Macaca mulatta: one gene and its partners. The protein of the gene in region 1 interacts with the protein of each later gene in a pairwise test. Links are inferred from orthologs where the notes say so. Each region holds a gene or a part of one and is shown in the gene's direction. Other genes may lie near its edges. The genes, in order: CREB3, ALG3, ORMDL1, TMEM115, ADTRP, TM4SF4 and USE1.

What was found.
Region 2: the proteins of CREB3 (region 1) and ALG3 interact in binary tests that used the Homo sapiens proteins (3 or more experiments, as listed by UniProt). The link is inferred for Macaca mulatta from reciprocal best matches to the Homo sapiens genes CREB3 and ALG3.
Region 3: the proteins of CREB3 (region 1) and ORMDL1 interact in a two-hybrid assay, tested with the Homo sapiens proteins (2 studies listed by BioGRID and IntAct). The two-hybrid records come from large-scale screens. The link is inferred for Macaca mulatta from reciprocal best matches to the Homo sapiens genes CREB3 and ORMDL1.
Region 4: the proteins of CREB3 (region 1) and TMEM115 interact in a two-hybrid assay, tested with the Homo sapiens proteins (2 studies listed by BioGRID and IntAct). The two-hybrid records come from large-scale screens. The link is inferred for Macaca mulatta from reciprocal best matches to the Homo sapiens genes CREB3 and TMEM115.
Region 5: the proteins of CREB3 (region 1) and ADTRP interact in a two-hybrid assay, tested with the Homo sapiens proteins (2 studies listed by BioGRID and IntAct). The two-hybrid records come from large-scale screens. The link is inferred for Macaca mulatta from reciprocal best matches to the Homo sapiens genes CREB3 and ADTRP.
Region 6: the proteins of CREB3 (region 1) and TM4SF4 interact in a two-hybrid assay, tested with the Homo sapiens proteins (2 studies listed by BioGRID and IntAct). The two-hybrid records come from large-scale screens. The link is inferred for Macaca mulatta from reciprocal best matches to the Homo sapiens genes CREB3 and TM4SF4.
Region 7: the proteins of CREB3 (region 1) and USE1 interact in a two-hybrid assay, tested with the Homo sapiens proteins (3 studies listed by BioGRID and IntAct). The link is inferred for Macaca mulatta from reciprocal best matches to the Homo sapiens genes CREB3 and USE1.

The regions. Positions count from the first base shown.
Region 1 is NC_133420.1:63,959,885-63,961,931, reverse strand, and holds the end of CREB3 (cyclic AMP-responsive element-binding protein 3), read left to right. Parts: coding exon 1-34; intron 35-124; coding exon 125-193; intron 194-842; coding exon 843-927; intron 928-1,024; coding exon 1,025-1,109; intron 1,110-1,190; coding exon 1,191-1,525; 3' UTR 1,526-1,547; downstream 1,548-2,047. Other genes in the region: GBA2 (non-lysosomal glucosylceramidase), read right to left, coding at 1,968-2,047. UniProt on the Homo sapiens protein: Endoplasmic reticulum (ER)-bound sequence-specific transcription factor that directly binds DNA and activates transcription. Plays a role in the unfolded protein response (UPR), promoting cell survival versus ER stress-induced apoptotic cell death.
Region 2 is NC_133407.1:96,379,989-96,383,943, reverse strand, and holds the start of ALG3 (dol-P-Man:Man(5)GlcNAc(2)-PP-Dol alpha-1,3-mannosyltransferase), read left to right. Parts: upstream 1-1,155; 5' UTR 1,156-1,177; coding exon 1,178-1,373; intron 1,374-3,955. Other genes in the region: EEF1AKMT4 (EEF1A lysine methyltransferase 4), read right to left, coding at 224-419. UniProt on the Homo sapiens protein: Dol-P-Man:Man(5)GlcNAc(2)-PP-Dol alpha-1,3-mannosyltransferase that operates in the biosynthetic pathway of dolichol-linked oligosaccharides, the glycan precursors employed in protein asparagine (N)-glycosylation.
Region 3 is NC_133417.1:94,776,624-94,780,668, reverse strand, and holds the start of ORMDL1 (ORM1-like protein 1), read left to right. Parts: upstream 1-1,245; 5' UTR 1,246-1,347; intron 1,348-1,582; exon of another isoform or gene 1,583-1,722; intron 1,723-2,402; exon of another isoform or gene 2,403-2,581; intron 2,582-2,996; 5' UTR 2,997-3,003; coding exon 3,004-3,177; intron 3,178-4,045. UniProt on the Homo sapiens protein: Plays an essential role in the homeostatic regulation of sphingolipid de novo biosynthesis by modulating the activity of the serine palmitoyltransferase (SPT) in response to ceramide levels.
Region 4 is NC_133407.1:113,836,767-113,840,924, reverse strand, and holds the start of TMEM115 (transmembrane protein 115), read left to right. Parts: upstream 1-1,358; 5' UTR 1,359-1,812; coding exon 1,813-2,663; intron 2,664-4,158. UniProt on the Homo sapiens protein: May play a role in retrograde transport of proteins from the Golgi to the endoplasmic reticulum. May indirectly play a role in protein glycosylation in the Golgi.
Region 5 is NC_133409.1:171,335,003-171,339,101, forward strand, and holds the start of ADTRP (androgen-dependent TFPI-regulating protein), read left to right. Parts: upstream 1-1,299; 5' UTR 1,300-4,099. UniProt on the Homo sapiens protein: Hydrolyzes bioactive fatty-acid esters of hydroxy-fatty acids (FAHFAs), but not other major classes of lipids. Show a preference for FAHFAs with branching distal from the carboxylate head group of the lipids.
Region 6 is NC_133407.1:52,489,460-52,492,959, forward strand, and holds part of TM4SF4 (transmembrane 4 L6 family member 4), read left to right. Parts: intron 1-179; coding exon 180-316; intron 317-3,500. UniProt on the Homo sapiens protein: Regulates the adhesive and proliferative status of intestinal epithelial cells. Can mediate density-dependent cell proliferation.
Region 7 is NC_133424.1:17,695,779-17,699,930, forward strand, and holds the start of USE1 (vesicle transport protein USE1), read left to right. Parts: upstream 1-1,352; 5' UTR 1,353-1,399; coding exon 1,400-1,501; intron 1,502-1,793; coding exon 1,794-1,843; intron 1,844-1,981; coding exon 1,982-2,060; intron 2,061-2,157; coding exon 2,158-2,310; intron 2,311-3,445; coding exon 3,446-3,455; intron 3,456-4,152.

The DNA.
Region 1 (2,047 bases):
AAAAGAAGGTGTATGTTGGGGGTTTAGAGAGCAGGTATGAAAGGGAGAGGGACTCAGTTTTAAGTGTTAGGTTTTTGAAGGGAGGACACAGGCCATATCCCCATATCTTTGTTATTTCCCCCAGGGTCTTGAAATACACAGCCCAGAATATGGAGCTTCAGAACAAAGTACAGCTTCTGGAGGAACAGAATTTGTAAGTATCCCTCCAAACCATTCCCTTCCTACGCTCCTCATTTAATGTTTTCTCACTCTTTCCCCTGCCCTACACTTGATTTCTAACAGGGTGGCTGCCTTCACTAGGTCTCTGATTCTAAGAAGCTCACAGTAGTGGGGAATATATTTATAAGTAACTGAGAATAAGCTAAGTACCTAGAAAAAGAAAGGGGGTAAGAAAGACCTCATGGGCTTTCATAGGATTCTGGGGTTGGGTTGGGAAAGCATTCTAGGCAGAGAGAAAGCATCCTAGGCAAGAGGATTAGCCCAGCATAGTCCTCTTGGGCTGGAACACATGTGAGCTGGGACAGAAGGTAGAGAACGTAGAGAATGCCCGGTGAGGATTATGTGCATAGCTGATCAGACAATGGGGAACTACTGATGATATTTGCAAAGGAGGTTAAGTCCTGGAAGAGTTTGTTTTGTTTTGTTTTTGCTTTTTTTGTTTGTTTTAATGAGGAACTTCAGGCATTTTTTCCAGAGTGGAAGAAGTCGTTTGCAAAAATAGAATGAAAAGTAAGAGAGAGGATCCAGTGCAGAGATGGAGGAGGTGGCCTGAACAGGAGTTTCACTGTGTCTCAGGGTGCTAGGCCAGGGGATGCTCACCATTGGCCCCTCTCTTCCTCTAGGTCCCTTCTGCATCAACTGAGGAAACTCCAGGCCATGGTGATTGAGATATCAAACAAAACGAGCAGTAGCAGCACCTGCATCTTGGTGAGGATAGTGATGAGGGGAGAAATTCTTTTCTCAGTTGCTGGGGACAGTTGTGCAATCCAGAGCCCTTCTTCATCTCCTTTTTCCTCTGCTGTAGGTCCTACTAGTCTCCTTCTGCCTCCTCCTTGTACCTGCTATGTACTCCTCTGACACAAGGGGGAGCCTGCCAGCTGAGCATGGAGGTAAGAGGCTTAAGGATAGCTCTCAGACATGGGCAAGGGGAGAGGCCTGGGTTGGCCTCTGAAGATTCTTTGTCTCCTCAGTGTTGTCCCGCCAGCTTCGTGCCCTCCCCAGTGAGAACCCTTACCAGCTGGAGTTGCCTGCCCTGCAGTCAGAGGTGCCAAAAGACTGCACACACCAGTGGCTGGACAGCTCAGACCACGTACTCCAGGCCCCTGGCAACTCTTCCTGCCTACTGTACTACATGCCTCAGGCTCCCAGTGCAGAGCCTCCCCTGGAGTGGCCATTCCCTGACCTCTTCTCAGAGCCTCTCTGCCGAGGTCCCATCCTCCCCCTGCAGGCAAATCTCACAAGGAAGGGGGGATGGCTTCCTACCGGTAGCCCCTCTGTCATCTTGCAGGACAGATACTCAGGCTAGATATGAGGATATGTGGGGGGGGTCTCAGCAAGAGCTTGTGGGGCTCCCCATCTGTGTCCAAATAAAAAGGGGTGGGCGAGGGCTGGCTGCAGCTCCTATGCCCTATCAGGAGGACTGAGGGCTCAAACACACCACACTTACTGGCTTTCTGGGTCTTTTATTTGTACCCATGTGTCTCACCCCATGAATGTACCTGGGGAAATCAACTGACCTCCCTGAACATTTCATGCAGTGAGGGAACGGGTGAGGAAAGAAATAAATAAGTGATTCTAATGCTGCCTAGGTCACCCTCAACCCCCATTTACTGGCACAACTGGGTGGGGAGAAGGGAAGGGGTATGATTGTCCTGATGGCTCAGGGTTGCAGAAGGTTCAGAGGGGAAGGAGGAAAGGCCAGGCTGGAGGCTGGGCTATTAGTGCTTTCCTCCCACAGTTCAGACGGTTCACTCTGGGCTCACGTTTGCCATGGCTTCCTTTGGTCCAAACATAGGCCCTGTCCTTAGTCCTGTGCCCTGTTCGACTT
Region 2 (3,955 bases), on another chromosome or scaffold:
ACCCTGAGGGGGTGTCTTTCTCCCGAGGGCCCCGGGACCGACAATCTCTTACTCTATTTGCCTTGACTAAATACAGCCGGGACTCTGAAGGAGCTGGATCTCGCGTCCCAACTCAGGCGTCCTCCAAGAGGGTAGACAGGCGGGAGGAAAGCGGACCGGGCCAAGCCCGCGCGGCGCCGGTCCTGCCAGCTCTACCTGGCGGGGCCGCGCCGGGATTACCCACCTAACACAAGGATACGGTCCTCGGGCCGCAGCTCCGGCTCTAGGAGGGCACGGAAGGAGGAGAAGTCCCCGAACCAATCGTAGGGGGCAGAATCGGCTGCGCCTTGGTAGCGCTGATCCCAGTACTGGACTTCGCGGTACCCGCAGTTCCGCTCCGGTAACTCCGGCGGCGCTCTACCGGCCCCTGGAGAAGCCATGCTCTCAACCGCGGGGACTGCCAGAGCCGCCGGCCCTTCAGCCAATACGGACGGCAGGATGCAGAAGGCTGGGCCCTGGTGTCTCCGCCCACCACCTGCAGTTGCTCAACACAAACACGTGGAACTTCCGTCCTTTACTAAGCGCTCTTTGAACAATCCTCCGGCTGGGAAAACCATCGTCCAGACCCTGAATCCTCCGGCTGTATTGCCAACTCATTTCCTAGAGCTGCATTCATGGTGTCAGACTCACGTGGGCTCATCACTGCGTCCTCTCATATTTTCAATGTGAATTACTTTTATTAGGAAGTCTGAAAATCAGTGAAAGGTTCATTTTTCTCAGCATCCGGAAGGCTCTAAGCAGAGGCAGGAGGGGCGCGAACAGGGGCTTTGCCCTCCTGGAGAGACAGCATGAACACAGATGTTCCCAGCGTAAGCGAAGTAGAATGTTGGCTTCAGGGACTGTAGCGGAGGTAGGCAGGAATGTTGCTTTTCTGGACATTCGTTCTAAATTAGCGCCTGTGTACCTAGGGCTGGGTATAAACTGAGGAGTAAGACATTGTTCCTGCTCCTATGGAGCGTGGAGTGCATCAGAGGAGACAAATGTAGAGGAAAAATTACATTTTAGTGGAGTAAATGAAGACTGGCTACCCGGATCGGCGCTTAGCCTGGTGGGACGCCAGGCGCGGGAAGCGGAACCTAAGTGTCGAAGGTTCGGGTTTCCGCGGGTGGTGGGCCCACACAAGCGGTGCACCGTTAAGATGGCCGCTGGGCTGCGGAAACGCGGACGGTCCGGTTCCGCGGCCCAGGCAGCGGGACTCTGCAAGCAATGGCTGCAGCGCGCCTGGCAAGAGCGGCGCCTGCTGCTGCGGGAGCCGCGCTACACGCTGCTGGTGGCCGCCTGCCTCTGCCTGGCGGAGGTGGGCATCACCTTCTGGGTCATTCACAGGGTGGCATGTGAGTGCGCCGAGGGGGAGGGGAGGGGAGGGGAGGGAGGGAGACCTGAACCCGCGACCCAAACTGGATCTCAGACCTGGAACTCAAAACCAGACTCTGTATCCACTCACTCATCAATTGCAAACCCATACATATCCCTTACCTGAGCTCCAAGCCTGCTCTACAGAAACCGGATCTTAATCTGCCCGCATGGCAGAGGTGGATACCCTAGAGATTGGCCTTCTGCACTGAACTTACAGCCTGCGAACTAGCTTAGAAGTCAGATTTGAGCCAAAATTGTTGTATTGCTGCTGTTGCTGCTTTTCTCTGTGGCTTTGGACACCTCAGGTCTCCTCCTGAATCTCAGCTTTTTCCATGTATTCAGTTCTGTGATCTTTGAACGTCCCTTCTCAATGATGGCATTTTGTGACCACTTGAGTCCATTAGGCACTATTGGCTACTCTTTTCCAGGCTGAAACTATACTCTAGGCTTAAGGCACTTGACTTTCTTGCTAAAGACTCTTAATTCAACAAATATTTATTTAGTGCTTATTATATGCACTAAATATTTATTTAGTGCTTACTATATTACCAGAGAGAGGTACAGTGGTGAATAAGAGATGCATTTCTAACTCCGGTCTGGACAATAAGTTAGCAGGCAATGATAATGCATCGTATTCATCATGGTAGTAAGACAGAATGCCATAAAGGGCATAGGAAGTCACTTAAACCAGATTGGAGGAGTCAGCAAAGGCTTCATAGAGCCACCCTTGAAGGAAGGTAGGAACTAGCTAGTTAAGGAAAGAAGGAAAAGGTGAGGGGAAGGAGTGCTCTGGGCAGAGGATCCTCTATTAAAAATATCCAGTTAGGCCGGGTGCGGGAGCGCAGGCCTGTAATCCCAGCATTTTGGTAGGCCTAGGTGAGTGATCTCCTGAGGTCAGGAGTTTGAGACCAGCCTGGCCAACATGGTGAAACTCCATCTCTACTAAAAATATAAAAATTAGCCGGGGGTGGTGGCACATGCCTGTAATCCCAGCTACTCGGGAGGCTGAGACAGGAGAATCGCTTGAACCTGGGAGGCGGAGATTGCAATGAGCCAAGATTGTGCCACTGTACTCCAGCCTGGGTGACAGAGTGAGACTCCGTGTCAAAAAAAAAAAAAAAAAAAAAAACAGAAACTCTCTAGTTAGAGTGGGCACGGTGGCTCATGCCTGTAATCCCAGCACTTTGGGAGGCTGAGGTGGGCGGATCACTTGGGGCCAGGAGTTAAAAGACCAGCCTGGCTGGGCACGGTGGTTTACGCCTGTAATCCAAGCACTTTGGGAGCCCGAGGCGGGCGGATCACCTGAGGTCAGGAGTTCAAGACCAGCCTGGCCAACATGGTGAAACCCTGTGTCTACTAAAATAGAAAAATTAGCTGGGCATGATGGCAGGTGTCTGTAATCCCAGCTACTTGGGAGGCTGAGACGGAAGAATTGCTTGAACCGGGGAGATAGTGGTTGTGGTGAGCTGAGATCGCACCACTGCACTCCATCCTGGGTGGCTGAGTGAGACTCTGTCTCAAAAGAAAACAAACAACAACAACAACAAAAACCAGCCTGGCCAACATGGTGAAACTGCATCTCTACTAAAAATACAAAACTTAAAAATTACCCAGGCATGGTGGCACACACCTGTAGTCCCAGCTACTTGAGAGACCGAGGCAGGAGAATCACTTGAACCCAGGAGGCGAAGGTTGCAGTGAGCTGAGGTCGTGCCACTGCACTCCAGCCTGGGTGACAGAGTAAGACTCTGTCTCAAAAAAAAAAAAAAAAAAAAAAAAAAAAAAAGCCTGGTTCCTTTGAGGAACTGAAATAATTTTTTTAGAGCTGGAGTATAGAAATCAAGTGAAGAGAGTAGTAAGAGATGGGAATGCAGAAATTGAGACCAGATCATGAAGAAATTGGAAAGCTTTGTTAAGAAGACAGCATGATAATTAAGAACCTAGGACCCTGCAAGCTTCAATCCCAACTCCACCATCCTAGCTCAATTATCTTAAGCCAGTCACTTAACCTAATTAATTCTTAAGCTCCCTTTCTAAAAAGGGGAATAATACAGAGTTTTCTTTATCTTAAGGGTCTTGGGAAATCATTGAGAGGTTTTAAGCAGAGGCCTGTTATGATTTGTATTTCAGGAAGAACTCTTTGGTGTACAAGGTGGAAAATACATCGTAGTAGGGTAAAAGTAGAAGTCAGGGGCCTAATTAGCAGGCTATTATATAATCACTGGGGCTAGAGATTACTTTAGGCTCCAAGTATGTAGTAGCAGAGAAGGATGAGATAGAAATATTTATGGTGAGGAGCAGGCAGAACTTGGTGATGAAGGGTTGGAAATGAGAGAGGAGGGAGTATCAAAGATATTACTCAGGTTCGTGACCTGGTAGCTAAGAGGTCAGTGGTGACATCTGTGGAACCCAGGAAGGGGAGTAGATTGGAGTGGGAGGAAAGATCACGAGTTCACTTACAGAAATGTTGAGTTTGAGATGCCTGGGCTCACCCAGAGAATGTCAGATAAAGAGTTAGATTAAGAGGTAGTGAAGCCCTGGGAATTGGCTGAAAGTCTGT
Region 3 (4,045 bases), on another chromosome or scaffold:
TCTGTCTGTTCCTCCTGACTCAGAGTTCTTTGAGGACAGGGGTTTTATTTTATATCAATCACACATTCCTAGCATAGCCCCTGGAATATAGCACTCTATACCATATGTGTACCAAATGAATGCTTTTGAAAAAGTGGAATGGTTTATATCGGGCTTACAAATCACAGCAAAGAATGTCTGGGAATATCAGGATAGTCAGTCTTCCATATTTACTGAGAGGGAAAAGGAACACTTCTGAAGGAATGTTGATGACCCGGAAAGTCAGTTAAGGACAACAAGTCTGCCTGAAAAAAGAAGTAAAGATCAGAGAAGTCACAGACTTTCATTAGAGAGAACACAAAGAAATCATTTATTTAAAGATCCGACTAAATCCAAAACAAGTTCACAAAGCCAACAGAAATTCAAGATACATAGACATACACAGCGAACATTCTCAAGTCAATTTCAAAATGTTGAAAGCTATTTAGGCAATAAAGATCACAAACTTTCCGCACTGCCAAGGTGAGGGAAATTACATTTCAAAGGCGATTCCAAAAAATCTAATCAAGACTTTCCTCAGGATCAGTTTTTGGTATCCACATTTCCTCAGTATGTGTAATACAGGTGCCTGTCTTGGGCGTACGGATAAACCCAGAAGGCCACGAGCAAACATCGTGATTAACTTTAAAGAGTTTAACTTGCACCCCTTGTATGATGCCACAGGATAGAATACTATAAACCGCCAACCTCACAAGATGAGTTACAGTTGCCATGGGTTAAATTTGCTGCCTGGAAAACAAATTTTAAGTCCTGCACCCAGAAGGGTCTGGGAATGGGCCGCAACAAAGACCAAGCCAGAACACCCCGAGCCCAGATCAGCTCAGAGAACGCGCTCCACGTGTACGCGCCTGCAAGCCCGGCTTCGCTTCCCGCCCGCGGGGAGCGCCCTTAGCTGCACTACAGCGTTCGCGCCCGGACCAGGACGAGTAAAGGAGATGGGGGCCCTCAAGCCCTCGAGAATATAATAAATACCCGTTAGTCATACCACACTACCTTCCTGCTAGCGCGAGGCAGGCAATTACCATCCACCAGCGGCAAGCAGCCAGCGTCTCACCCGGAGCGCAGGCCCGACCCCGCACTCGCACCCAGCATGCGCGCGGCACAGCGGATACAAGGAGCGCGGCACTTAGTCCCGTCTCGCCCGGGGGGAACGTAAGATTGGCGCTGCTCGCAGCCAATCCGCTGGCAGCGAGTCTGTCTGTGAACGCTTCCGCAAGCTACGCAGCGCCCGGCCTGAGGGCGTGTATCCGCGGCCGTAGCAGCCCGGCTGGTCCTGCTGCGAGCCGGCGGCCGGGAGTGGGGCGGCGGGTAAGTGGGCACGAACACGACGGACGCTGTACAGTCTCCTTCGTCCGTAGGGAACTGCTGGCGGCCTAGGGTCGTCCTGAGAGGGAAAAGTGAGGTCCGGCTGCATCTGCGGCGCCCTGCGTGGCCGTGCGAGCCGTGGCCTCAGAGGCTCGTCCCCTACGCAAATCTTCGCTGTCTTGCCAGGGTCCTGACGTGACGTGCGGCTGCGAGAAGGCAGGGGCGGGTTGGGGGAGGTGCTGAGGTGGTAGCAGCGGCGGCCTTTGCTGCGTTTTCTCTGTCCCAGAGGGCTCAGGCAGGGGGAACTCCCTTGAGGGGCCGCTGCGGGTCGCCGTCTCCGGAGGCACCGGCGAGGGCAGAGCCGACGGCCTCTTCACGGTCTGTAAGGTCATTGTTTACCAGTCGCGGGGCAGCGCGGCAAACCTGCTGGGGAAAGGTTTTCTGGTTGGAATAGGATGAGTACCGCACCAGCTTTGCCTTCCAGCTGAGATGTAAATTTCAGGCCTCCATCCTGTGGAACGTGGGAAAACTATCTTGAGTGTTGGCATGTTCTAAGTAGTTTAAAATAATGTATGATAAATGATGTGTGTTTAGACGAAGGATTTACACATACAAATTGGAGACTCTCGCGGTCTTAGTGTAACTAACTTTTCGTCCCCTTAACCCTTGATGCCTGTTCTGTGCGTCTCTAGAGGGGAAGGAGCATTATACTCTGGAAGCACTTGCTGGATGGGGAAAAGAGAAGTTCCTCTCCGTATGCTAACTCCGTAATACAAGCGTTTGTGTATTTTAAAATCACAACTGTTCCAAATGTAATCTAGCCTCGTTTTCCCCCTCCCTCGGATGATAGGTGTTCTTCAGGACAGTTTTATTTTAAGGAATTCTTAGACCCAAGTAAACACCATCATTAAAAGAACTGGTAACTATTATCAGTTCTTCCTTTGGAGTCCATCTTAAATGGAAAGGAGATGGGAAAAACTTTTTTAAAGAGAAGAAAGAAAACTGAAGTTTTTTAATTGACTAGAGAAATATTCAGAAGACTCTTTATTTTCACCTAGATGTATCACAAAATTGAGAAACAAACATTATCCCTTGACCATGTAGATTTTACACCACATTATGTCAACGGCATGTACCTTCCACATTCAGTATTCAGAAAGAAGTGATCTGAACTCTGACTATTCTTTATGGATACAGTAAGTCAGATATAAGAGTGGCTACTTGACAGACTGGCTGGGTGAGTTCTGCTTTTTCTTTTTAATATAAATTTATTATGTTGGTAAATTTAGCTTTTGGCTTTTCACGTTGCTCTCATGATATAAGAAAATGTAGGTTATCTCTTTCAGTTTGAATTTTCCTATTTAGTAAAACAGCATGCTAGAAAACAAACTTTAGGAAAGGCATTTTAACTACTTTTTAAATTAGAACCATGATAATAAGTCTTGTCTTACCATAAAGTCAGATGTTGACGATTCTTCACTGCTGTCAGCAGCATCTCTACAAGTAGCATATTTTGGATGGTGTTTGTGTGCTACCTCAAGATAACTAGGAAAAAATAATCATCCTGACACATGTACCTTGTCATGTCAGAATTGGGGGTGTTTAGGTTGCCAGTTATATCAGTGTTGATTCATTTTATTACTTTCCTATAGAGCAAACATGAATGTTGGAGTTGCCCACAGTGAAGTGAATCCAAATACCCGTGTCATGAACAGCCGGGGTATGTGGCTAACATATGCATTGGGAGTTGGCTTGCTTCATATTGTCTTACTCAGCATTCCCTTCTTCAGTGTTCCTGTTGCTTGGACTTTAACAAATATTATACATAATCTGGTAAGAATTTCACATTATACTAAACACTTAAAAGTTTTAGGTTTAGTGGTTGCCAGAAATTAAGGGGCGGAAGGAATGGAGGGTTATTGCTTAATGGGTACAGAGTTTTTAGTTTTGCAAGATGAAGAGAGTTGTGGATGTCGATGGTAATGGTGATGATTGCACAACAATATGAATGTTTTTAATACCACTCAATTATACATTTAAAATCGCAGCACTTCGGGAGGCCAGGGCGGGTGGATCACAAGGTCAGGAGTTCAAGACCAGCCTTGCCAACATGGTGAAACCTTATCTCTACTAAAAACACAAAAATTAGCTGGGCGGGGCAGCACATGCCTGTAGTCCCGGCTACTCTGGAGGCTGAGGCAGGAGAATCCCTTGAACCTGGGAGGCAGAGGTTGCAGTAAGCCAAGATTATGTCACTGTACTCCAGCCTGGGTGACAAAGTGAGACTTTGTCTCAAAGGAAAAAAGCATCTAAGATGGTAAACTTTATGACGTGTGTTTAAACACAGTTTTTAAAAAAGCTTAAGGTTTTGTGATATGTACAACTTAGTTTTTTTAACAGCTTTTTTTGAGATATAATTCACATGCAATAAAATCCACCCATTTAAAGTGTATAGTTTAGTGGTTTTTAGTATATAAGACTTAATTTTGAAGAATTCTAATCTGGGATAGAATTTTCTTTTTTCTTTCACACTTTATTTCAAAACTGGGCCTTTTTCTAAGTAAGACTTTTTTTTTCTCATTGTATAAAATCTAGAAAATAGATCATTTTGGTTTCAATCCTTGTTAACTTATCTATCTAAATTGTATAAGTATTCTTTACTGTTTCAGTATTTAAGTGTTGAACTTAATCATATCTTATG
Region 4 (4,158 bases), on another chromosome or scaffold:
TTTGTAACCTGTAGGCCATGCACACTTCGGCACACACTGAAATCAGTGGCTGAAAGGAACGGATTCTGTGCTTTATAAAAGTACTTTGTCAAAAATTGTTTTAATTATATGTACAGCTTTTTGTTTTGAGACAAAGTTTCACTCTTGTTGCCCAGGCTGGAGTGCAATGGCACGATCTCGGCTCACCACAACCTCCGCCTCTCGGGTTCAAGCGATTCTCCTGCCTCAGCTTCCCGAGTAGCTGGGATTACAGGCATGTGCCACCATGCCTGGCTAATTTTGTATTTTTAGTAGAGACGGGGTTTATCCATGTTGGTCAGGCTGGTCTCGAACTCCCGACCTCAGGTGATCCGCCCGCCTTGGCCTCCCAAAGTGCTGGGATTACAGGCATGAGCCACCATGTCCAGCCTATATGTACAGTTTTTTTTTTAAGTAACTCAATATACAAAAAAAAAAAAAGACACAGAACACAACCACTGTCAGAAGCCACTGTGGCGTGAAGTGGGGCCAGAACACTTCTGGCCCAGGCTTGTGGAGAGACCTCTCTTCCTCCGCAGTGATCAGAAGTCTCTAGTGGGGAGGAGGGTCACTGAGGGCAGCCCAGCCTCGTCCGTGTGCGGGAGGGAGTCCTAGGTTCGTGCTCCAGGCCCACCTCACTTGGAAAAAAGGCAACGTGAAATAACAAAAAATGTTTCCAAGTGGGAGAAACCAAACAAAGGCAACATGGGCAACACTCGCTGAGTACCCAGGGTGGACTGGCATTTTACACCCCTTTCCACTTATTAGGACAGGAAGATCATGTCATCATCTATATTTTACGGTCCATGAAACTGAGTTTCAAAAAGGTTCAGGAACTTAACCAATGCCACACAGCCGCCAAGGCAGAGCAAGGGTTCCAGCCTGGGTCAGGTGCCATTCAACAGACCACGGAGGTTCTGTTTCTCACACAGTGACACACACCCACACGCCAGCAGACAAGGACACACTCGCTCAGAGGTACATGCACAAATAGAGCTACTCTTCCCAGGGAATTCAGCAAGTGTGGGCGCTAGAGCTGTGTTGCTTCCCGAACCCCCACCGCCGCTTTCAGGGGTTAGAGATGCTAATTCATCCCTTCCCACCTCCTGAGAACCGACGGAAACGGTCCCTGAGAACTACAAGTCCCAGCACAGTCCCCTCTCACCACGACGGGACCGATCCGTGCGCATGGCCTCCTGGGACTTGTAGTTCTAGCCAGAACCCTGTTCCACTCTTCCCCGGCTGCAACCAAGGACTCCGTATCCCAGCATGCAGAGGAGCCGGAACACAGGCGCTTAGAGAACAGCCCGCTGCCGCCGGGGGCGCGCAGGCGCAGCACCCCTGTTTGTCGGCCCCCCGAGAAAGAGGTACGGTCGAAGCCAGGAGCCAGGCCCAGCGGGAGCTGACCAGGCTTGACTCGGGTACGGAACTAGGCATCAGCCCCCTTGCGAACCGAAGGGCCTCGGAGTGGATGGAGGAGGCCCAGCCCTGAGATCAACGCCAGCCAGGCTAGCCTGGCACGGGGCCTACAGGGTGGGCAGGCGGGCGTGCCGAAGCCGTCCAGGGCCTTCCCTCAGGTCCCGGGCGAGGGACCTACACTGCGGCCCGGCGACAAGGCCCGACTCGGCCCCTCGGGACCAGAACCCCACCCGATCGGAAGCGGATCCTTTACCAGGGCCATAGGCCAGTGACTAGGCCGGGCCTGGGCCTCCCATCGGGGCCGGACTGGGACGAGGCCCCGGGGAGGCCCCTGGCCTACCAGACCCTTTCCTCAGGTCTACAGCCGCCGGGAAGATGCAACGTGCCCTGCCAGGCGCCCGCCAGCACTTGGGGGCCATCCTGGCCAGCGCCAGCGTGGTGGTGAAGGCTCTGTGTGCAGCGGTACTATTCCTCTACCTGCTCTCCTTCGCCGTGGACACAGGCTGCCTGGCGGTCACCCCGGGCTACCTCTTTCCCCCCAACTTCTGGATCTGGACCCTGGCCACCCATGGGCTGATGGAGCAGCATGTGTGGGACGTGGCCATCAGCCTGACCACGGTGGTGGTGGCTGGGCGTTTGCTGGAGCCCCTCTGGGGGGCCTTGGAGCTGCTCATCTTCTTCTCAGTGGTGAATGTGTCTGTAGGGCTGCTGGGGGCCTTCGCCTACCTCCTCACCTACATGGCTTCCTTCAACCTGGTCTACTTGTTCACTGTCCGTATCCACGGCGCCTTGGGCTTCCTAGGTGGTGTCCTGGTGGCACTCAAGCAAACCATGGGGGACTGTGTGGTCCTGCGAGTGCCCCAGGTGCGCGTCAGTGTGATGCCCATGCTGCTGCTGGCACTGCTGCTCCTGCTGCGGCTCGCCACACTGCTCCAGAGCCCAGCACTGGCTTCCTATGGCTTCGGATTGCTCTCCAGTTGGGTGTATCTTCGCTTCTACCAGCGCCACAGCCGGGGCCGAGGGGACATGGCTGACCATTTTGCTTTCGCCACTTTCTTCCCTGAGATCCTGCAGCCTGTGGTGGGGTTGCTGGCGAACTTGGTGCACGGCCTTCTGGTGAAGGTAAAGATATGCCAGAAGACGGTGAAGCGCTACGATGTGGGTGCCCCATCCTCCATCACCATCAGCCTGCCAGGCACAGACCCTCAAGACGCGGAGCGGAGAAGGTACTGTGAAATTTTCCAAAATCTTGTCAAGCTAGGAGCATACTGGTCGAGTCACATACCATCTGTTGAGGTGTTTGCCGTACATAGGTGGAGACCTACAGTCAGGTGTTGGGGCAGATCTGGAAAAATAAAATCAGTCTTTGGCCTTGAGGAACTCAGCAGTTAGGTGTCTGGGGTCCACGAGGCACTTTCCTCACCACTGTGGCCACCTAATAAGTCTCAAGAAATGCAGTTTCCTTTGGTGCTGTGAATGCCCAGTGGAGGCACACAGAACCCTGGCCTTGCCTCAGAATCTCAGAATCCTAGACATTGGGCCTGGGAGCCAGAAGCAACCTGCTGGTACTTTCCCTGTGAGGAAGGGAAAGGGAAGGAGGCCTGGGGTCCTCGAAAGGTGATCTGGGCCACTCCGGTTTCCAAATGCTATGTCCTCTTCCTGGGCTTTAACTCAGATGCTGTGCTTCTCTGCCACTTATTTATCGAGAGGGAAGCTTGGGGTATTGCCACATTTACCTCCGTCTCCAGCAGGCATGTGTCACCAAAACCAGACACAGGCTACATGACCCACTGAGGGAGCCTGCTGACTACACCAGGGAGTGGCGATGACCCTTTCATTATCTATAAACCAAGCCATCCACAGCATCAGGAGTCCCAGCTGAATTCTTCACTAAATGCACTTTGGCCAGGGCAGGAGGGGTCTTTTTAAATTCAGCTCTCTCTCTCTCCCCCAGATCTGTGGAGCCAGCAAAGTGGTCCCAGCTTTCACAAGATCCACAGCTCCATTTCCAACATTATTATTGAGTGTTTTGAGGCAATTACTTCAGTAGTAAAATCTGGGGCGGGCTTTGTCCTTTGCATTGCCAAGGCTCCTGCTTTTGCTCACCTGTGAATGGGGTCGTGGCAGAAAGCTCTATGAATTTAGCTGCAGTTATCCCTGTATTTACTCTCCACTGGGCTGTGGAATTGAGTGTGGGACACATTCCTTTCTTGAAGGAGTTCCAGCTGGGGAAGGGCCACAGATCACTATGGGCCCAAGGTGTGGTAGGTGTTGAAAAGTATATACAGCATGCTGTAGAGCATAATTCTGGGCTCTAGAGCTTGGGTCTTTATAGGTGATAAGCCTTAAGGACAGGAGTCTCTCTTAACCTTAGCTGGTATTAAAGTTGGGGCCAGGAGAGCTGGGCCTGGTAGGAATTGAACTGTCCCCCAGAGCTATTCAGGTGGCGCCAGGCCAGTGGGGACCCCTCCTCCACAGAGAGGTGTTGGATTATTAGGGTTGGCTGGACATTCAAAAACCTCTGCCCAGGCCCAAGAAAATGGATGGGGGGGAAGCAGGTTGGTGGGGAGGAAGGGAGGGTCAAGAGGCGGGTTCTTGGCATAGCCTTATGGTTGTTAGCTTACATGGGGGTGGGGATTATTCCTCCAGCCACTTTGACGTCTGACTGCATGGCCACGCCCTACTCCAAAGGGCTACCAGGAGAGGGAGGCAGGGTTTCCT
Region 5 (4,099 bases), on another chromosome or scaffold:
GGGCTCGATCTTTGAGTTTTTTTTTACTGCATCCTGAGCTAAGCCTGACTGGTTAAAATAAAAGCAGCATTCTTCGTCTAGGAAAATGCAGAGTCCTCCTTTGTCAGCGGTCAGTAGGTTGAGACCTCTGTGGTTTTGTAAGACGACTGCCGCTAGGGAGTCTAGCTGAGCTTGTAAGGTGGATATGGAAGTTGCAAGGTCATCTATACCATCTGAAAGGCCTTTTGATAAGGTTTTATGGTGATAAGAGGAGGTTGTGATTCCTGCTACTCCTGTGCCTGCAGCCACTGTGATGCCTAGGCCTACGAGTAGTGGGATAAGCTATATGACCCGGCACCTGTGGTGTCAGAGTTGAGTATTTAGGGTTTGGAGGGGCAGGTTTCCTTCTGGAGCTATTCCTGTTTTAGGGCTGAGGAAGACCAGTGTACAGGTGCCTGTCCAGTTGGTCGGGAGACAGAGGTAGGTGGAGGTGCTGCATAGAAAGAATACACCTTGGCTAGGGAGGCTGAATTGGAAATGTGTGGAAAAAAGGGAGTGTAAAAGGTTGTTCTCTGAGCGGCAGGTGTGGAGGGAGGAGGCTAGAGCCACTTGGTTAGGGGTTGAAGAGGGTGTGTTGAGGTGAGCTGGCTGGCTCCTACTGCTGAGTTTTCTAAGTGTAGAAAGAAGAGTTTTGTGTTAATAAGTAGTTCGTTTGAGGGTGTGTTAGGCAGTGGGATTTCCATGCATTCGGAAGTGGGGACGGGGTCTAGACAAGCGCTCCACCCTGCGATTTCTGAGCAGGGCCTGTGTCGGTTATTGCAGAATCCTGATGTTTTTCCCGTGACTTGGGTCTGAGGGGGGTTGGAAAGTTTGAGAACTTGTGTGGAGTTTGTTACTGTTGTTCGGATGCCTGTTGGAGGAGTGAGTGTTAGGCTACAGTTGCATAAGCTAGAGGAGAGGGTGCCTAGGGGGACTCCTGAGGAAAGTTCGCGTTTTATGCATAGGGATTCGTGTTGGCTGAGTTTTAGTAAGTGCTCCTAAGATAACCTTGTGTTTTGAAGTATGTGCGGGAAGATTGAGTTTGTGACCTTTGAGTGCATTTACTCCTCTGAAACTTTGGTAGCGGGGGTGGAGGGTTATACTGGTGAGAACCCAGTGTTTGAGGGGAACTGGGAAGGCATCCTTTGATGTGGTTTCTGAGGTGTGTACACAACCAGCAGGCCTTGGCCAGGGAGGGGTTAGTTTGATTGAGTATCGTATGTGCCTGTTGAATGGTGCGCTGAAGGTGGAGTGGTAGTGAGAAGGAGGAGGGGAGAAGGAGTAGATAGACAGAGAGCAAGTGTAAAGGTAAAGAGTTCGGCTTCATCTGGAGTAAATTCCTGTAAATCCCCTTGAAATAGAAGATCGGTGATCCAATCCAGGAATGCCGTGAGGGTGGGATGTTCTGCGTAGGACAATGAGATGTTTTCTGTGATGCAGTGAAGGAAGAGGGTGAAACGGCAGGACGGGCAAAGACAGGACATTAGGGAGGGGCAACTATTTGTTGGTGGCTGTTACACCTGCTCTAAGCAGGATTATGAGGCAAAAGGTTACGGATATTGAGATTTTTTGTTTGAAACTCCACCCAGGAGGCAAGACAGTATATAGTCCTATGGCAAAGAGTAGAGTAAGTAGGGTGATTCCTGCAAGGGCAGCGTAATGGATGATTTCCATTAATAAGGGTTTAGATACTTAATGGTAAGGGGTGACAACTTATCTGTTATGGTTCATGGGGGAAGAGTGGGGTCTTCTGGGATGGGTGTTAGACGGAGTCGAGTTGGTCTGAGAAGGGTGCTGGAGTATTTGCAAGGAACAGCTGGTTGGTTAGTTGGTGGCGGGTCAGCTCCAGGGACCCTTTTTAAGCTGGAAAGATGGTACCAAAAGTTGTGTCCTGAAAGTTTGGCTGCGATGGGGGTAGTGAGAAGGAAGGGCCTTCCCCTCTTCGGTTTGAGACTCGTTGGAGTAAGAGTTTTTAGAAAGACATATTCTCCTGGAAGGAGTGTTTGGTCGGTGGGGCCTTGGTGGGGTTTTGGGAAGGCCTGCTCAGCTTGTTCATGGAGAATATGACAAATGAAGGAGAGTGTTGGGAGGTACTCTCCTAATTGAGAGTTAGGAGGGGGTCTGTTTTGTAAGAGGAAAGGGCATCCATACATTAACTCAAATGGACTGTGGAAGGAGGGAACTTTTGGACTGGCTCTGATGTGAGCCAGTGCTATAGGTAAAAGGGAGGTCCAAGGTTTTTTGACTTCAGGTGTGAGTTTGGTTAACTGAGTTTTGAGAATTCCATTTGCCCCCTCGACTTTTCCAGATGACTGGGGCTGGTATGGGATATGGAGGCACCACTGAACACCAAGGGATTGGGAGACTTGTTGGGTAATTTGGGAGATGAAGCTAGGCCCATTGTCTGAATGTATGGAGCGAGGGAGACCAAATCTAGGGATGATTTCTGTTATGAGAATTTGGGAGACTTCTGCAGCTTTTTCTGAAGGGTAGGAAATGCTTCTACTCAACCTGAAAAAGTGTCTACGAGGGTAAGAGGGTATTTAGTTTTTTTGACAGGAGGCATGTGGGTGAAGTTGACTTGCCAGTGCTCCCCTGGGAGTGTTCCTCTGAGCTGGTGTGTAGGGATGAGGAGAGGGCAGATGGCCCCTTGGGAGGAATATATGACAGTTTGAGGTTATGTCCTTTAGTGAGATGAATAGATGGGGGGAGGAGAAATAAGGGCGAAGGGGTAGGCACAGAGGGTGTGCACCAATATGGAAGGACTGGTGAAGAGATGTTAGAATTTCCTTGCTTTGCTCTTGGGGAAGAACGAGCTTTTGATGTTTGGTTATCTAGTCCCCTTGAAGGGAGGTTCCTTGCTGTAGTATCGAAGCCTTTTCGGTGGGAGGGTATTTGGGTGGGACTGCTGGGGTGACAAGGAGGATGGGCGCAGGGAGAGGAGAAAGGGAGCCCTGTTTTGCTGCCTCATCAGCCTTCCTATTTCCTTTTGAGATTTCATCTGATCCTGCTTGATGTCCTCCACAGTGTATGACTCCTGCTTCCGTGGGGAGGTGTGCGGCCTGAAGGAGTTGGTAAATAAGGGGCCGTTAGTAGTGGGGGTTCTTTTGGCGATAAGGAATCCTGTCTCTTGCCAGATGGTGGCATGGGAATGAAGAATGTGATCGGCATACTTGGAGTCTGTGTATATGTTGACCTGTTTGTCTTTGGAGAGGGTTAGGGCTCTGGTGAGAGCTATGAGTTCTGCCTTCTGGGAGGAGGTTCCTTGGGAGTAGGAATTTAGCCTCAATTACATGGTTTAAGGTAACTACTGCATACCCAGCAATTTTGGGAGAGCCAGGGGCTCCGGAAGATGAACCGTCTGCGAATAGTTGGTCATCTGGGTTAGTGAGAGGCTCAGAGGAGACGTTAGGGAAGTGTGGCTGCAGGTGATCCAGAATGTCAGTGCAAGAATGAATAAGAGGGGAAGAGGATATTGGAACTAGCGATGCCGGCTTGAGGGGGGCTCTTTTGGCAAGGCTGAATTTGGGATTTTAGATAAAGAGGGCATGGAGTGACTGAATTCGGGAAGGAGAGAGGGAGCTCAACGCCCGGGAGGAGAGAAGATCCTGTAAGTTGTGAGAGCTGTGGACGGTGGTGCTTTGGCAGAATGTTAGTTTTTTACTTTCCAGAGCTAAAACAGCTGCTGCTGCTAATGCTCTAAGACATGTTGGCCACCCTCTGACAGTGTTGTCTAACTGTTTAGGGAGATATGCCACAGCGGCAAAGGAAGAAGGACTTCGCTTCTGTTGCCCTAAGACCCCGAGAGCTATTCCTTGGTTTTCAGCAGTATAGAGAATGAAGGGTTGGGAGACATCTGGTAAGGACAGGGCAGGTGCAGTGATGAGAGCAGTTTGGAGTCTACGAAAATTGGGAAATATGTTGTGTGTGGGGCTTAGGGGTTCATTGAGAGGGCCTCTGGCTGCTTCATAGAGGGGCCGAGCCAGGAGGGCAAAGTTGGGAATCCATATCCTAAAGAAACATGCCAGTCCTAAGAAAGAGAGAATTTCATTTTTTGAGGAAGGCAGAGGCAAGCTGTTTC
Region 6 (3,500 bases), on another chromosome or scaffold:
GGAAAAGAAGATACCAAAATTCATTCTAGAAGACCCCACAGGCCCCATCTACTATAAAGACCAGCTCCTACCCCATAACTTCTTGTAGTCACCATGTTCAACAGCAGGTGGATTAGGTTTGCTGAGTGTATCCTCTGGACCACCTGGAGAATTTGACTGTCTCTCCCCTTCTCTTTCAGATGTTCACCTCTACGATATTTGCTGTGGTTGGATTCTTGGGAGCTGGATACTCGTTTATTGTCTCAGCCATTTCAATCAACAAGGGTCCTAAATGCCTCATGGCCAATAGTACCTGGGGCTACCCCTTCCACGACGGGTAAGACCACACCCTGCAATGCCCACCTGTCACCACAAGGGGCACGGGCAGATAAATTGCCCAAGGGGAGACTGCACACAATGTCATGTCTTCATCCTTATGCAAGTCTCAGGCTCGGTGCTCCTTTGAGGCAGAGCTGGAGTTGTGGAGTACAGCAAAGTTGCATAGAATCTCACTTCGAATTGCTCCTTTGACAGATCCCAGGAGAAATAACTAAAAGAGGATGGATGCCTCCTTTAGCCCGAGGGAAGGAAGAGATTTGTTGTGTCATCACTTGCACCCAAATATTTATTACCAGCAACACAAGGCAACTAATAGTATTAATAAACAGAGTAATAGTTTTCGTTGCAAATCTTATAATAGAAAACAAGAATAATTACTAACTGGGCCCAAGGGCTTTCACTAATACCCCAAATTGCCTATAATTAAACAATCGTTTAAGTGCATGTACAGAAAATGACATTGAAATCATTGTAGGTTTCTCATGTTAATGTTAATAGCCTCATTAAGATAACATTTCATATTATCATGGTACTTTGTAGGCTGTAAAGATCTTTATCCCACAAATTTATAATTTAATCTTCATAGTAACATCAAGAGGTAATTACTCTGTGCCAAGGCAGGTTTAATAAGTTTAACGAGCTTCAAAGTCACATTGTTAGTTGAGGACAGTGCTGGACTCAAACTCAGGACTTCTAACTTCAAGTCTTAGCCTTTCATAGTACACATCTTTCTGTCCTGCACTGACCAGGATGATTTTGACTACTTATGTTTTAATTTAATCCCATGTAAGATGTAAGGCTGCTCTTTGCGCAAGGTACAAAATATGCCATGATGGCTACAGGAAGGGCATTCAGGGGATGGGCCCAGATCTCACTGCACCCTCTCTGCCATCTGGCAAACCTTCAGCAGCATTCTGTTGTCTCCTCAAATCCTGTTTCCTCCCTTCTGAGACAAGAACTCACATTCCTTTTTGATATTATCTACCACTGCCAGCTCCAAATCTTCCCTCTGACTGCGGAAGTTCACCTTGAATTTCTTACGGCAATAATTGAACTTTCTATAGCTTGGTGTTTTCAGTTAACAAAGTGCTGTTACCTACATTGTTTCATTTGCTCCTCACAAAAAGTTTATGAGATTATTTAACTCTCCTTCGGAGGCAGGATAGCCGAGGCCCAGAGAGGACAAGTGACTTGACAAGAGGAATACAGTTTCTTAATGGCGGAAGCTCAAATCCAAGTTTTCTCACTTGAAGTCACAGTGTTTTTTCTAGAACACAATTTATATTGACTCATACTGTCTGCTTTTTGCCTAGATTCCCTGTTGGCAAAACTCATTGGATTCTACCTCCTACTCCTTTTACTATACTGTACTATACTAGTATCTGATAGTTTAAAAGGGTCTGTGGAATCTTCTTATCCAATCAGCATATAGTAACTGTTGTTATAGCTGGAAACCTAACACTCATACACAGCTGCTCAGAGACTAGAAAGGATCAGTCACTTGTATGAGCCAAAACGAGAAAACTTGAGACAGTTGTCATTTGTCCCTTATTACCAAAGGGCAGCTGTGGTGACAACTGCTTCTTCTTGTTCTTGTTCTTCTTCCTCTTCCCTCCCCTCCTTTTCTTCTTTTCCTTCTCTTTTTTCTTTCTCTCCTCTTCTTCCTTTTCCTTCTTCTTTTTCTTCCCAATGATTAAGTGCTAAGTGTTTTTATGTGCATTATCTCACCTAATCTTCCTCATAAATCTGAGAAGAATTTTTATCCCTGAAAGAGAAAAATGAAGCTGAAAAAGGTTAACTTTCCCAGGGCTCAATGGCTAGTAATTAGTAGCAGGATTTTTTTTTTAATTGGCTGGGAGTGGTGGCTCATGCCTGTAATCTCAGCACTTTGGGATGCTGAGGTGGAAGGATTGCTTGAGCCCAGGAGTTCAAGACCAGCTTGGGCAACATAGGGAGAATTCCCCACCCCACCGCCCCTCTACAAAAAAAGAAAAAAAAATTTTTTTTAATTAAAAAATTAGCTCGGCATGGTTGTGCATGCCTGTAGTCCCAGCTACTCCAGGTGCCTGATGTGGGAGGATCTTTTGAGCCCAGGAGGTTGAGGCTGCAGTGAGCCGTAATCATGCCTCTGCATTCTAGCCTGGGCAACAGAGCCAAACCCTGTCTCAAAATATATATATATAATATATACACACACATATACACACACACACACGATTTATATATCTACATATACACATATCTACTTTTATATATAGGTGTATATATACACCTGTGTGTGTGTGTGTATGTGTGTGTGCGTAGTAAGTATCTTATTTTGTGCTGAAGCCTATCCCAAACATGGAACAAAAAATGAATAGACATGGTTCCTGCCCTATCAGCATGTGGGTTAGGGTGAACACATGGAACAGATCGTCATAATGCAGAAAGTGTGAGATGGAGAAGGAGTGTGGGGGAACCTCCTTCGAGAAGGTGACATGGGCTGATTTTGGAGGATGAGCAGAAGTTTGCCTTCCAGTGAGGGAGGAGAAACGCATTTCAGGCATGAAAAGGCTGCCATGCTTAGGGAACATCAGAGCACTGCGTGGCAGAAGCTCAGTGTGAATGAGGAGAGATTTGCAGAAGGGACCGCCACACGATGTGGTGAGACTGAGAGGCAGCCAGACCTTCAGGGCATCAGGGCACAGCAGAGGACTTCAAGCAAGACATGGCATGGCTACTTTGGACTTTTAGAGGCATGGTGGTGCTAGTGATGTGGAAAGTAAATAGGAGGGTTCAGGAACTAAAGAGAGATAAAAGCTGCCGTCATAATCCAGATAAGATGGTGAACATCACCCAGGCAGCAGAATTGGGGCTCAAAAAAGACAAATTTCAGAGAGTGTTTGAAATGGAGTCATCAGGTTTAGGTGTGAGGAGAAAAGGGGAAGCTAATCAAGGTGGACTCTGAGATTTCGAATTTAGTGCACAAAATCCAGGGCTCTGCAATGTCGTAGCATTTAGCACTGTTTTCCTCAGAAATGTTTGTTGATGATAATATTAAGGGAGGGAGCAAAAGTAGTTAACTTGTTCTGTCCTGAGAACCATATTAAAGAAACACCCTAGAAGGAAAAAGAAACTTGGGCATTTTGAAATACACCCTCTTGGCTTCCTTTGAGGTAGAACCTCCTCCCATCCAAGGCCTT
Region 7 (4,152 bases), on another chromosome or scaffold:
TCTCAAACTCCTGACCTCAGTTGATCACCTGCCTCAGCCTCCCTAAGTGCTGGGATTACAGGCGTGAGCCACTGCGCCCATCCGTCTATGGTATTTTTCAAGGACATCAGGCCCACTGGTGTGACCAAGGTACAGATGATCTAAGGTATGGGAAAACATGAGGGCTGCATGCCAGGCCCTGGTCCCTGTGAAGCCCCCACCCTCATCCTCTCACTCCAGAAGCGTGGCACTGCAGGCATAGGGGTACTCAGCTTCCAGGTAATGAGGTGGGCTGGGAAGGGGTTCTCTCCACGGGGGTCTGGGCGTTAGGGGGGACCCAGCCCCACCTTGCTCACTCTGAGGCAGAGCTGCCCCATATCACCCTTGAGGCAGGTACTGTCACACTGTACATTTCCCGGGGGAAGAAACGGATCAAGAAAAGTTAAACTCGCCCAGGGCCGGGGATGGAATCAGAGCTGGAGCTGTGACCTGGAAGCTCATAACCACAATACAGATGAGCCCCGCTGAGGTGGGGGAAGCCTTGGATTCCTGAATTCCAGGCTAGAGCCCCTCCTACAAGAGAAATCGGGAAGGGCCCGCGGAGGTGAAACAGCTCCGACTGGGAAGAATCCAGGTAGTAGTGGGGTGGGGGGAGGTACTTCGAGCAAGCAAAACAGAACAAGAGGGCACAGTGCAGGGGGGTCTGACACCCGAAGATCCCGGTCGTCCTATCATTCCCGAAGGGTTAACACGCTCTCGAAGAAAAGGAAGTGATTCGCCTGAGTAAGAAAGAATGGGGTGGCGCCTCTCCTATTTTTTTTTTTTTTTTTTTTTTTTGAGACGGAGTCTCGCTCTGTCGCCCAGGCTGGAGTGCAGTGGCCGGATCTCAGCTCACTGCAACCTCCGCCTCCCGGGTTCACGCCATTCTCCTGCCTCAGCCTCCCGAGTAGCTGGGACTACAGGCGCCCGCCACCTCGCCCGGCTAGTTTTTTGTATTTTTTAGTAGAGACGGGGTTTCACCGTGTTAGCCAGGATAGTCTCGATCTCCTGACCTCGTGATCCACCCGTCTCGGCCTCCCAAAGTGCTGGGATTACAGGCTTGAGCCACCGCGCCCGGCCCTCTCTCCTATTTTTTTTTAAATAGAGGTAGGGTCGCGCTATATTGCCCGGGCTGGCCTCGAACTCCTGGCTTCAAGCAATCCTTTCCCAACTCCGCCTCCTAAAATGCTGGCATTACAGCCCTGAGGCAGCGCGCCCGGCCCAGCGCCCCGCCTCAAAACAAGGTATTACTTCTGCTCCAAACAAAGATGGGCCAGCGAACGGGAGCAGGCGAAACATCCGCCCGGAAGGCCACTTGAAGGCACTTCCGCCCTCTCTTAACATGGCGCCGGCGGAAGGGGCGGGGTAGGGCCGGGCGATAATGGCGGCGTCGAGGCTGGAGCTGAACCTGGTGCGGCTACTATCCCGCTGCGAGGCGATGGCAGCGGAGAAACGGGACCCGGACGAGTGGCGCCTGGAGAAGGTGAGGGGATCTCGCACTGCCGCGTAGAGTCCGACTCCCGGGGGGTGGTTCCTAGGGTTGGAAGCCACCTAGCCGGACTCCCCTGCCCCAGTAGCCTCTCGGGCAGCGCCCTTTCCGGTCAGTCCCGCCACGTCTACCTGTAGCTTCCGCCCCCGTCCCTGGGACTCCGCCCCTCCCCCACTGGCCCCGCCTCCTTTGCGCTTGACCCCTCCCATTTGTCGGCCCCGCCCCCCACTCCCATGAGCAGGACGTGGGAACGACCCCCGGGTGACAATCCACTTTTCCTCCCCAGTACGTGGGAGCCCTGGAGGACATGTTGCAGGCCCTGAAGGTCCACGCGAGGTGAGTGCAGGCAGCCTTACTGCTTTCACATCAGCACGTGGCTATTCTGGGACATCCCAGTACCGCTGTCCCAGCTGGGACCCTTCCCTGAGCTGGGGACCATGGACAGGCTTTCTTTTTCTTCTTCCTACCTCCCAGCAAACCGGCCTCTGAGGTGATCAATGAATATTCCTGGAAGGTGGATTTTCTGAAGGGGATGCTGCAAGCCGAGAAGCTGGTGAGAAGGGGTGCCCCTCCCCCTCAGCCCCCATCACCGCTCACTTTCGTCCCCAGGACCTGCCCCTCCAGTGACTTCTCTTCCCACATTTCTGCAGACCTCCTCCTCAGAGAAAGCACTGGCCAACCAGTTCCTGGCCCCTGGCCGTGTGCCAACCACAGCCAGAGAGCGAGTGCCCGCCACAAAGACGGTGCATCTGCAGTCACGGGCGCGGTACACCAGCGAGATGCGGAGTGAGCTACTAGGCACGGTAGGGCTCCTTTCCTGGTCCCTGGGAACCCCTTGGACAGGGACGGGGGTTCTATGCCTGCAGGCAGCCGGAACCACAATACTGTCAGATACAGGGGCTCTGAGGGGGTCCAGCAATCGCTTCCCTGGGTCATCACACAAGGCCGCCCAACAGAGGGGCACTGTGGCTAAGGCTTTGCTAGATGAATAGCAAATTTGGTACAAGGCAAAAATGGAACGTGTCAGGTTAAGCCCCAGAGTTGGCCCAAGAGCAGGGTTTGAGTCCTGGCTTGCAACTTACAAGACACGAAAGTTTCTTCAGCTGTAAGAGAAGATGACAAGTTCCTTTCTGAGCACTTTATGTGGATCAGCTCAATCTTTTAAAATATGAGTTGTTGTGGCGGGGCGCGGCAGCTCACGCCTGTAATCCCAGCACTTTGGAGGCCAAGGCGGGCAGATCATTTGAGGTCGCGAGTTAGAGACCAGCCTGACCAACATGGAGAAACCCCGTCTTTACTAAACATACAAAATTAGCTGGGCGTGGTGGCACATGCCTGTAATCCCAGCTACTCAAGAGGCTGAGGCAGGAGAATCGCTTGAACCTGGGAGGCAGAGGTAGCGGTGAGCCAAGATTGAGCCATTGCACTCCAGCCTGGGCAATAAGAGCAAAACTCCATCTCAAAAAATATATATATATGAGTGGTTGTTACCAGTTTATAGTTGAGGAAACAGGCTCAGAGGTCATGGGATTTCCCCATGTCCTGACTGAAGGTGAAAAGGTTGAGATCAGAAGGGACAGGTTTGGGAACAAGACAAGGGGGGTGACTTCATGGCATTTACTTTTTTTTTTTTTTTTTTGAGATGGAGATTCACTCTTGTTGCCGAGGCTGGAGTGCAGTGGGGCGATCTCGGCTTACTGCAACCTCCGCCTCCTGGGTTCAAGAGATTCTTCTGCCTCAGCCTCCTGAGCCATGGAATCACAGGCACCCCTACCACACCTGGCTAATTTTTTGTATTTTTAGTAAAGATGGGGTTTCATTACGTTGGCCAGGCTGGTCTCGAACTCCTGACCTCAGGTGACCTGCCCACCTCGGCCTCCCAAAGTGCTGGGAGTGAGCCACCGCACCCAGTCTCATGCCACTTACTTCTTTCCACAGGACTCTGCAGGTGAGTCACCATGAACACAACAGGACTTGAGGGCCAGCTGCCTAGGACAAGACATACATCCTTGCTGCCCTGGGGCCTCCATGCCCAGCCTGACTCCAACAGCAACATAACCAAATTACACGTGGAGGAAGAGCCAGGACAGAGGAAATGACCCCGAGAGGAAACAGAGCTAGGCACTCCTGCCGGGCACAGTGGCTCACACCTGTAATCCCGGCAATTTGGGAGGCTGAGGCAGGTGGATCACTTGAGGTCAGGAGTTTGAGACCAGCCTGGCCAACATGACCAAACCTTGTCTCTACTAAAAATACAGAACTTAGCCGGATGCAGTGCCGCCTGTCTGTAGTCCCAGCTCCTCAGGAGGCTGAGGCAGGAGAATTGCTTGAACCCAGGAGGTGGAGGTTGCAATGAGCTGAGATCACACCACTGCACTCCAGCCAGGGTGACACAGCAAGACTCCCTCTCAAAAAAAAAAAAAGGAAAAAAATTAGCCAGGTGTGGTGACGCACACCTATAGTCCCAGCTATTTGGGGGGCTGAGGCAGGAGGATTGCTTGAGGCTGGGAGGGGGAGGTTGCAGTGAGCTGAGATCGTGCCAGTGCACTCCAGCGTGGTTGACAGAGAAAGACTCTATCTCAAAAATAAGCAAATAGATAAATTTGTTAAAGCTAGGCACGCCCAGCCTATGGGACCAAGGCTAG